3 linked regions of the Drosophila melanogaster genome follow. The protein of the gene in region 1 interacts with the protein of each later gene in a pairwise test. Each region holds a gene or a part of one and is shown on either strand. Other genes may lie near its edges. The genes, in order: jagn, CG13984 and CG16853.

What was found.
Region 2: the proteins of jagn (region 1) and CG13984 interact in a two-hybrid assay, tested with the Drosophila melanogaster proteins (one large-scale study listed by BioGRID).
Region 3: the proteins of jagn (region 1) and CG16853 interact in a two-hybrid assay, tested with the Drosophila melanogaster proteins (one large-scale study listed by BioGRID).

The regions. Positions count from the first base shown.
Region 1 is NT_033777.3:5,777,524-5,781,937, reverse strand, and holds jagn (jagunal), read right to left. Parts: upstream 2,624-4,414; 5' UTR 2,511-2,623; coding exon 2,422-2,510; intron 2,139-2,421; coding exon 1,766-2,138; intron 1,704-1,765; coding exon 1,572-1,703; 3' UTR 630-1,571; downstream 1-629. UniProt on the Drosophila melanogaster protein: Required for endoplasmic reticulum organization and proper vesicular traffic during vitellogenesis. Required for oocyte and bristle growth.
Region 2 is NT_033779.5:6,307,001-6,310,102, forward strand, and holds CG13984 (uncharacterized protein), read left to right. Parts: upstream 1-1,818; 5' UTR 1,819-1,866; coding exon 1,867-2,169; 3' UTR 2,170-2,475; downstream 2,476-3,102. Other genes in the region: CG43922 (uncharacterized protein), read right to left, coding at 1,457-1,702.
Region 3 is NT_033779.5:13,540,477-13,544,102, reverse strand, and holds CG16853 (uncharacterized protein), read right to left. Parts: upstream 1,635-3,626; 5' UTR 1,452-1,634; coding exon 546-1,451; 3' UTR 543-545; downstream 1-542. Other genes in the region: CG9263 (uncharacterized protein), read left to right, coding at 1,635-1,923, 2,112-2,428; CG16852 (uncharacterized protein), read right to left, coding at 2,529-2,977, 3,039-3,303.

The sequences.
Region 1 (4,414 bases):
CGCGTGGTGCGCCTATAGGTCGCCTCCTCGACCCGCATTTTGCTCCACCAGTCGTTTATTATTTAAATTTAGTGCGAGTAATTTCGTAATTTTGAATTTTTCACAATTTTTTTTCCTTAGTTTTCGTGTTTACTTCGGTCCGAAATGGTGTGTTGGAAAATTCGGCATCCGTTCTTCGCACAGGCAATGTACAAATGGAAAATTAAGAGAGCGGGCGGAGCAGGGAGAAAAGGATGCTGCGGAAAAGCTTTGGCTCTCCGCCACAGCTTTTTCTCTCTCTGTCTCAGCTTCCTGGCTCTCCGTCGCCAATTGTAAACAATTGCGCAATGCTCGCCTGCTGTTGCTCCTCCACTCGCCTCGATGCACAAATGGTCACTAAAACTGGATTGTTGTGGCCAATTCGGCCTGCCAGCCGCATTGCAACGGCCTGTGGGGTTGTGTTGGATTGTATTGCTTTGGGCGAAGGTCCTTATTTGGTGGTGTTTTTCAAGAAATAAAGCTTGAGAACTTGTATTTGCCTCTTTAAAGTTATGATAAATATTGTAGATGAGCATATAAACATTAAGTGACTTAATAGGTATACTTATCAAAATTTGTTTTAAATCAACCGCAATAAAATGCTATGTTTAACCCACTCAGAAGAACAAATATATATGCATCTTTATTGATCGATTTTTAAAAAACTACTTAAAAATTCGAATAATAAATTACGATTTAAAAAACATCATTACATTAAAATTCAATTCTCAGTTTAGTTTGGCGACATGCCTGTCATTACACAGTATTATTGACGATCAGAAATTGAAGAACTTTGCTTTAACACTCAAATTGCATTTCAATCCTTATTTATAGTAGTGTGTAAACAGTGACAGAAGGTTGTAAATAGTTTGGGGCAGTTCTCAAACGTTCAGCACCCGGCCAGACGCCTTAAAGCATGGCACTGTGCGGTTCGATGAATAAAATTCAAAATTAACGTACTGGCAAAAATGAAACGGTTTCGAAATTTGTAGAAAAGTGAACTAATTATCAACTAGGCGAGGAAGTAACCATCCGTGGACGCAAACATAAACTGATGTACGCATATTTTCATGTGTAAATATATATATAAAACGTTTCTAACAAACACGAGGCACGTCGAAATGTAAGTGAGCAAAAATGAAGTGATCTCTAGGTTGGTTTTCAGTTTTTATTCCGACTCGGGGAAATTTGGTGGCTTCAGTTGCTTCTTGTCTTTAGTTGACCTCACAAGGCTGCGTATGTGTGTATATATGTATGTCTATGTGTATAGGTGTACATGTGTATATGGATAAGAGTCTATTTAATCAATTTGAAAACGGTATCAACTAACTTTCAACTAACAATAACCTTACCGCCGACGCTTCGCTCAGTTTCGACCATATGTTTCCCTTCCTGTATGACTAAGTGTGCGATACCTTAACAGCTGCATAACTTTAGTTTACCATAGTTTCATTACGCTTTTGTGCACTAGTGTTTTGAGTTAGTTTCAAGTTTCCAAATTATTTACAACTAGCCCTGCATTCCGGCGTTTACTAGTTTGGCGAGTATTTAGATTACTGGAACTTGCGCGTGGCAGTTCTGGCCTTCCAGGCCTTGACCAGGTTGTAGGCGAAGTACAGCGTAAATCCGTGCACCTGGAAGCCCACAAAGCAGAAGGCATACCAGAAGACGCCGTACGGATAACCCTGTAGAAAAACCGAGGTTTAGTAGGGCGGCTCTTGAGGGATTAACTGGCCCAGCCACTTACGCGCCACACAAAGATGTCTGTCTCGTCCAGCTCCACCGACTTGTCCAGCGTGGCGAACTCCCACACGTCCGAGAAGTAGTAGGCGAAGCAGTAGAAGAGTGGCAGGATGGCGAATAGCAGTATGGCCACCATATACTTCTGCATTTCGCGCACCTTGTTGCCCCTGGCGGCCGAAAGGCCCAGGAAGGAGGTGAGCAACGACGCGGCCCACACGTACTCCCACCACAGGGGCGGTGGGACCTCCAGCTCCTCGATCTCCAGCACAAAGATATCCAGGTGGTCCAGAATGTCCGACGTCAGCTTGGCCAGCATCACGAAGAACAGCAGGGCGTGAAAGAAGATGCAGTACTTCAACCTGGACTTGTTCAGCAGGCTAAAAGAGCAGAGAAAGTGGTCGTTCAGTGGCGGATCTGTGTGGGTGAGCCCCATATTGGGGCGCACATGCTGCCCAGCTGGCACTTTGCCCACCCGCCCCCTACAGCAGCAAGTGGGTGGGTGCAGCAGCTCCAGGGTGCTCCGCCGCCCTGGCTGGACGCCACCTGCGATTCGGCTGCAGTAGGTGCCGCCTGCAGGTGGATCTACTGCCACAGGCGCCCCAGTAATTAGATAATTTCGAGTGTAGCTGAGAGCTGGCGATAGCACGAAGTGTTATTAACCTAATTTGATATGTGCCAGCTACGCGCTGCCTGAACTCGAAGTCGTTGCCATCGGTGCCCGCGACCATTGGTCCGCCGCGCGTTGCCATTTCGTTGCCTTCGTTCGTGGGTCGTGTCGTTCGCTCACGTCGTTGCTTATTTTTAATAAATAATTGCACAAAAAATAGGGCTGGCACTAGAATCGATGTGTGTGCGATACCATCGCTGCCACCAAAAAACTGGCGCACATCGATACGCTCCTCGCTACCATCGATTACTTTCGCTTGAAAGCATAGCAAATAACCGTTAGAAAGAGAGGGGAAATTCCGCTAAGTTTTAGAATGTTCATTTTCAGAAAGTCTGCCATGGAAACTATTAATACATCTGCATGGAAACTGTTTACAAAACATTAATTAAATTAAATAATTAGCCTTTTAACTGTATTAGCAACACGTGATTAGTCATATTATTTAATTATTTTAACTTATTCTATTACAGTTATTAAACAGTTATTAGTTTTAATAAAGTGGCAATGTGGTCGTGGTGACTAGCTCCGCTTAGGGAAATTTTAATTGGGAGGATGACTTCGCTAGGTGTGTAACCTCGCTAATGCTGTGTAGAATAAATGTGTTATACTTACATACGTAGAACTTCAGTTTTTCTCTAGTTAGTTTCGGCAGAATGTAGATAGATATTCGAACTAGTCGCAAATGAGAACGATTTTTTAAAGGTAATGCTGAGAGTTTAGCATTGCTAATCTGAAAAGTGGGCTGGTGAAAAATAAAACCAAACCTATTCTTAATGGCATTAATGGCACTTAATACTTTAATTTTCATATCTTTTTTGCACGATTTTAGAAAATGAGGGCTGGTTTTAATACTCCGATTGAAATCTTCCATCCATATGAGAATTATTTCTACTAAAAGTACAAACGCTAGACTAAAATGAATTGAATTGCATTCCAATTCCAATATGTCTTATAGACCAAATGGCAGAACTAGTAAGATTTAGTAATGATTAATGATTAATGAACGGGTCGCGATGAAAAATATTACTCGTAGATTAAAAAAGAAGTATTCTAGATTCCTTTTTCAACGAATATGTATCAGGTGAAAGGAAGTGTTTTTCGAGCCAATAAAGCATATATTGGTAAGGAACACTAGCCGAATCGAACTGGCCATGTCCGTCCGTATGCACGTCGAGATCTCAGGAACTACATATATAAGAGAGATTAATTTAGTTTTATTGCTATGTCAGAAAATGTTGAAATTCATGTTTGAACTTTCACTAGCAGAGAAAGGAGTATCTAATAGTCGGGGAACTCGCCTGTAGCGTTCCCTCTTGTTTTAGTTTCTCCGTACCTTGTTTTTGAATTTGAACTGCAGTTCCAATTTTTCGAAGCCAATAATGCCTAGTGCGTCAAGCCGAAATTATCATAATTGGGTGCAAGTGCTCTTTGATGGGATTATGCAAATTGGATGCAGCTTTGTGTCCCAATCAGTTTTCCAGATTGGAAGCAGTGGGTGTGTCCGGCGGACTTTCGGCGCTCTGTCAACTGGCCAGCACCTGTTGCACCGAAATCCATAAATCAATCTGCCACGAAACAAGAAACAAGCGAGGAAAAGCCAATCTGCGAAAATAGAGAGGGCGACGACGTTTAAAAATAAAATAATGAATTTCCCATTTCAACGCACTCTCTTTATGCTCGCTACGCTACAAAAGTCGAGCATTCGGCCCGGGTGTGTCATCAGTTCTACGGCGGTATTCCTCCGACTTGGACGCGTTTTCATCGCATGCGATCGTCTCCGGCCGAAAGTCGCGTCTTTCCCGCTCCGATTTTAATGTCAGTTGTTGATAATTTCCGCTCGAATATTTATGCTGAGCTCGGTGGCTGACACTTTCGAGTCCAAAGTTGAAGTTGCGCCATAATTGCGATTCGGTCCATAAGGTAATAGACCAGAATAGTACCATCACAATGAGTGGCACTTGCATATTAATTGCATTTCATCGCCGA
Region 2 (3,102 bases), on another chromosome or scaffold:
ATATGTTTGGTAAGCCGCCGCACAGTGGAGCTTGTGAAACAAAGGTCTGAATGTTGCGAAAATTATAAAAATTTCCACAGTAGAAGTAACTAAATGCCATTTCAACAAATATCTAACTAATAGAAGCGCACTAAATAATTATTTCTAAACGCGTTTGATTTTGGCAACCAAAGTACTAATTTGGGCCCACCGTGCGACGTCTGGGCCCGGAATTTCCACATTAATCTCATTTCAACCCAACCACCCACTGATGTGAACAGGGCAAAACCATAACAATATATGTACACATTCAGGGTGTACAGTTGCAGTTAAAGCTTCATTATGTACAGCATTTTCACATTATTCAATTTAAGAATTATGCACTATAAATATAATATTTTCATTTTTTGTTAAAAAATATGAGATTATTGGCTAATGGGAGTTGCGTTCGTCACTAGTCTGTAGCTCTGTTCACAGATCTTGCATAGACGGCATTAGTAACTTCTAACCGATAATAAGCTATCACAGTTTAATTATCCCTTGGCAAATCTAAATATTTTGATTTAAAGCCTTATATACCATGTGAAACGCATAAAGAACTAGAGGAAACTCTCATGCAATCATCCAGATTTTTAAAGATTCGTTTGATATCAGAGCATTTTGCTTGCAAAGCTCCTTTAATTTGAGGACGCATTTCCTTTGCCAACGCAGCGGCGCAGAAAGTTAATTTTTCTTAAACTACCTATCTCGTTGTTTCTGTTGACTTGTGTTCTTGCAATGGCAGTGCACAGTTTACCATTCGCGAAAACTTTGGCCATTTTATTGCTGGTTATTTGCTGGTTGGCTGCGCCAGACGACTACGACAAAACCAATCATCCGCTCCGCTCCCTTGGCCGCCGCTGCTTTGGGATGTCAAAATTTTAATAAAGTCGGGGATGCCACATTGGCCGACTGCCATCCACTTGGCTCCTCATCCTGGGCGGTGTCATGCATTTTTGTTGCAAAAAAAACCGACCACCGACGTTTTTCATTTTATCGAGCGTCCTGTTTATGAACTCCGCGAACTAAGCGGGCACTTAAATTGTCTTTACGCCTTGGGGGCTCGTCTTCTGCTCCTTAAGACGTCGTCCTTTGACAAAACCTCCTTCTGAGCCCCTTTTTTTGTCTCGGGTTTTCCCAGAATTACATCCTTTTGGGAGTGGAATTTTTGGTAAAATTTAGTTTATGTCGGTCTCGTTCGTTTATCTTTACTGATTGCACTTTTAGCCTCTGTTTCCTGGGGGAAATTAAAATGTACTTAGCGATGTCTGAAAAGGCGTTACCAACTTGACCTTCGTTTTGTATAATTTACGTAACTAACATTGCGCTTAATAAATTGTGTTAAGATCCTACAGTTTCAAATAAGTTCTGTAAAAACGGAAAATTAGAGCGCATTCATTTTATTAACATTTTAATTCATTTTGATAAAACATCGACATTAGTCGTTCTTTTTTACTTCGGCGGGCATTCCCTCTCCTGTATAAGTCTTCTTAGTTTCCTCGTCCCGTGTCATTTTGAACCAAACTAAAGTCACGATCCCAAGGATGAGTCCTATGATTACTCCAAGGCAAGCAACGGCAGCTATGAAGGCGACGAAGTGGACTTCCGTTAGTATGTAATCCAGTAAATCAATGATCGGTTGGACCACGTGGACGCAGACGATTTCAATGGGGTTGGGAATCATTTTGGCACTTGTGATAGATACAATACGAACTAGTTAGACTGAGAGTGAAAATCGTTCTGAGCCCTGACAGCTTTTTCACTGCTACAGATTTCTGTCGCATTTCACCTTGCAAAGGGCAGGCGCGTAGAGGAGCATCAGATCTAAAATTTTCAGTTTTTGACATTATGGAGTATCAGCACTATTTGCAGAATGAGCTGACCATTTTCCACTACCACCTACTCTTCGACTATGGAGCACCGATCCAGGTGGCCACTTGCATTGCCTTCGGCGTCGTCTGCGGCTGGATAATGAGCCTGATCACATTCGTTGTCTACAAGGCAGCAATTGGCCTGGGCGCCAAAGCCACGGCATGTGACAACGATGATAAGTACGATGATCTCGACCTGGACATGCATGGGGAGTATGGGTATGACCGGATGTTGTCCCAGTGCCAGGACCTTAGTGATTGGCTTGTGAGGACACAGTAGCTTAGACAGGATAACGCCTGAGGGGGCATTCGATTCGCCTTCTCTGTGCATGAGCCCCAATCAAAGTATCTCCACGCCACTTAGACCGTCTCGAGTGCGCTGAGTGAATTTTTCAGATACTGTTACAGTGGCAGTATCGGATATTTTCTCTGCCGTTCTCGAAGTCATTAGCATAATGTATCTCGACACTGTCATGGCCTTAAATTGAATTCAGCATGCACCGCAGGCCGTCATTTATGCAAGTTTATTTCTATAGACGAAGGCCGGAGGTTCCAAATATTTAATAAACCAAACCGTTTCTGTTTGAAAAATTCCCTTTTTTTCGTGTTGATTTTACTCAAACAGCTGGAAGCTGTTTTCCCCAATTTAATTTAACATTTTGCCTGTTGCTTTTAGAGGACCTTCTGTGTGCTCCAGCGCTTAAAGGTCAATCACTTGTTAGCAAAAAAAATGGGTTTTTAAATCAGAAATTCACAACTGCATGCTCGTAAACACCATTTTGTGCCTTGATGGGTATGTAATAAAAAATGTTTCTGAAAGTGCACGGCTTATATTAAAATAGCAACAATTCAAACAGTAGCCTATCACGCACGATTCATTTTTTAGAAAATTGTAAACGTGGGAAGCACTGTCTTCTCATGGAGGTGAAATATTCAATTTTAGATACTTTTTGCAAGTAAATTGAATTTATTTTACAACCCCGCGTCAACCAGCAAAACGACGAGCAACCCCTCACCGCAGACGATAAATAATAATCGATTTGACTTTGGTTAGAGTTTGGTCACAGTGGGGAGCCAACTCTCATGCTATACACAGTAAAAAAATATTTAAAGCAACATAAACTTTGTATTAATTCATAGCAATAAATTCGTCTGCTTTGGTGGTTGATTTAAAATTGATCTATATTCATCTATATCTATCTATCTATATGTA
Region 3 (3,626 bases), on another chromosome or scaffold:
AAGGTCTATCCTCGCTCCATCCACTCATGCACCATTCTGCCACCCGCTATACAGAGCGACTTTTGTCTAGAGTTAAACTCAAAAAAAAATATATAAAAAAAATCAAGAAAAAGTTGGCGAAGAAAGGCAGTACCATTGCGGCAGCGGCGTAAGCGAACTGCAAACTTTGGAGTCCATGACAACCAGTAAAACTGCTGAAAGACCATTGATTGAACCTGGTCATGCGGTTTGCTTGCATTTCCAAAGTTTCGCAACCCGACTTTGTTTGAGGCAGCTTAAAAATAAACAGAACATGTATTTTAAATCTAAGGATATCGTTCATGCGGACGGACATGGCTAGATCAACTCGGCTAGGGATCCTGATCAAGAATATACCCAAAGGTGTTACTCGTATACAAAAAAGTCTTTGTTAAAATTAAACTATAATACAAGTTTTTACAAATTCAATAAGAATTCGATCACTATTTTTAACAGAACATTATATCACACATTTAAGATGTAAGCTAAAGAACCCGCACCAAAATAAAACTCAAGTTCCAATTAGATTAGAGAAGCTTTTGTTGGCTGCTATTATAGATGTAGTAGTACCCTCCGTTGAATCGCAGTGTGGCAAGTTCATAGCGCATGGTGCCGCTCACCGGATTGGCCACCACTCGCACCGGCGACGAGGAGAAGGTAAGAGTGCGGTAGAAGAAGGCAGTCAGGAAGCTGGCACTGATCACAAAGGCCACAAAAAAACCCAGACAGAAGACACAATCCTTGTTCACTTGCAGACAAAGACAAAAGGCTGCCACAAAATCACAGATGGAGCGTCCAATTCGCGCGCAGATCGTTTGACGAAGCTGGCGAGGATTGCCCGGCAGATTGTTGCCACTAATCGTGAATGTGTGCAGCGTGCGTTCGCAGGGCGGTGGATTCGGATCTGGTCTCAGGTCGGTCAGATCCAAACGCAATCGCTGCGACTGCGATGGCAACTCAGCGGTCTGGGTTCCCAGTTCGCGATATTTTGGAATTTGGACAATCACTGCCGGCTGGAGTTGCTCCCGGCCCTCCATTGCATCAGGAATCTCGCGTGAGAAGCGACAGATTACTTCCAATACATTGTGCAACTGCTTAGGAGATCCTGGCATTTTTGAAATACCTGTCTTGGTCTGGTGACCCTGATCATCTTCTGATTTCTGACCCTTAACTGCGGACTGAGCACTCGTGCTCGGCTCATCATCCAGCTCTGAAATCACCCGATTGTTCTCCAACCGATCCGCATTCGAAAGATGCTCCTGTGGGTCGAGTTGTGCAGAAGCCTCCGTCTCTGTGGCGCCTAAATTCGCATCTTTTAGATACACAACATGACCATGTTCAACGGCGGGTGGCATATATATTATAACTTGACGTTGAGAATCCGGGGATGACGACCTCTTGTCCTCATCGTTCTTATCCATATGATTATCCATTGCGTTGTGTTGAAAACTGGGAATTTTTTTGACCAGCTAATACAAAATTTGAGTGATAAATTCAGTTCCGGTGTGATAGTTGTCAACATCGTTTTGTATATGCCGAAATTATGTTGACTTCAGTAGCTTGTAAGACATTTTTCGATACTTTTCCAAATTTGATCTGTGGACGCTGTAAACTTAATGGCGTGCAGGGAGCCACCGCAGACTGCGATCGTCATTAACTTGCTAATTGGCGATTTGGTTCAGGATGCCGTTAACGAGCCCCGCAAACTGTCCGAGCAGAAGAACACCTGCCAGCGGCTCTTCGATATTTTGGGCTTTCAAGCCGACGAATGTTTTGAGGATTTGGAAGATAGTGATCCGGCTGCAACACACAGCTCGATCACCGTACGCACCAATTCAAAATCGAATCTAGGCGGAGCAAACAAACGGAATTGGTACGGATGGATGTCCAAGGCATTGGCGGAAGGTAAAAAATATCAAAATAATGCATAAACCAATCTATAAAAAAAAGATAGGAACTGTCTCTTGGAGTTGTCCTTGAAAACTCTGAAAAATAACACTACTGTCATAAATCCATAAACAGTTTCATTTTGGTGAAACCAGATGTCACCCGCATTTATTTAGTATAGTTACTATAACTGTATCAACCCGCAGAAAATTCGGAAGACGATGTTGAGATCTTCAGGAAGAAGGATAGCGATGTGCTCAAGGACATCCACTCGATCGGCGTGCAGACGGAACAGCCGCGCCGGCGCATTAGAGTTTGTCCTGTGGACTTTGCCCCGGCTTTGGCACCCTGCGAATCGACACGTCACACGATATTCATCGATGCCGTTTCCATGCAGATTCCAAATGCACTAGGTCGACCACCGCTGGCCGATCGTTTTTGCTATATGCTAACCGATTTCGCTTCGGCACTATATTGTAGTCTCGCCATCATGTGTTGTTGCACACCCAATATGTTGAGATAAATTAGAATGCGCAATGCTGGTTGGAACTCTGTTCTGCTAATTCTGTTTACTGCATTTTTACTCATACAATCACGTGCAAAACGAATCATTCTTATTACAATTATTTGGACGGCATGCCGACATTGGTCTGCAAGTTGCCATAAAAGTGGCTTAGTAAGAGGTAAAGGCACCACAGGCACAGGACAATGAAGAGTGCCACTGTTAAATTCTCGCCGATTATAGAGGCGAATGCGACAATCGTATCCGCCGTCTGCACAAGGACCTGCCACATCCTTTGGTGCAGTGGGGGTCTTTGCATAGCCGTGGCCGATGTCACCGACTCCACCTCGATGTGGATCGTGTGCTGCTGGATCTTGCTGGGCTTGTCCGTTTCGAGATCGATACCACCGCCGCGTACAGCCGCCAGCTTCGCCTCCAAATCCTTGCTATTCATATTACTCTCGTCCGCTGCTGTCCACGAAGTCTGACTACTCACCTCGCAGGTGGGCTTGATTGTGACATCCGATAGCCGCGAAAGACTCGATGATCTATGCTCCACGATTTGATCTTCTGTTAAGATATCAAAGGCTGTTAGCCCTTCAATAAGAACGGAATTATACATTTATCTTACCTTGCTTAATAGCTAACTCTTCGGATCGGAATCGCTTCATGCGGCTTGTTTGTCCATATTCACTCTTTGGGAGCTTGATGTATTCCTCAAACAAATTGCACTTGCTGATCTGCCTGTGGGTTAGTTGGTCCCTTGGAATCTGAACATCTTTGTGCTCAGCATTCCAGCCAATAGATGGCGCTCTGATGCTATCATCCACTCTTTTTTCTGCTTGTGCAGTTATAGAGATATCGTCTCCAGAAGTGTCACTTTTTGAACTAAGCATGTAGAGTTCTTCTAGTCGCTCCTTGCCTTTGTGATTCAATATGTTTTTCGTGTGAAAATCATGAGTGTGAGTTAAATTTATTTTCTACCATTTCTGTCATTTAAAATCAGTCTGGCTAAAAATTCGTAGCAAAGGGTTGCTTTATCATCTGCCTCAAACGACCATGGCAGACCGGCAATTGAGCCTCGTTGGCCAGTGGATAATTTTTGCGCTAAATTAAGCAATTTCCTTTCCTGTCTGGCCGGGCAAAACCAGAAGCTGCTGTCCATCGACACTTCAGGGTCGACTGTCGTCTATGGATTTTCCTGTCTAATATGACAATT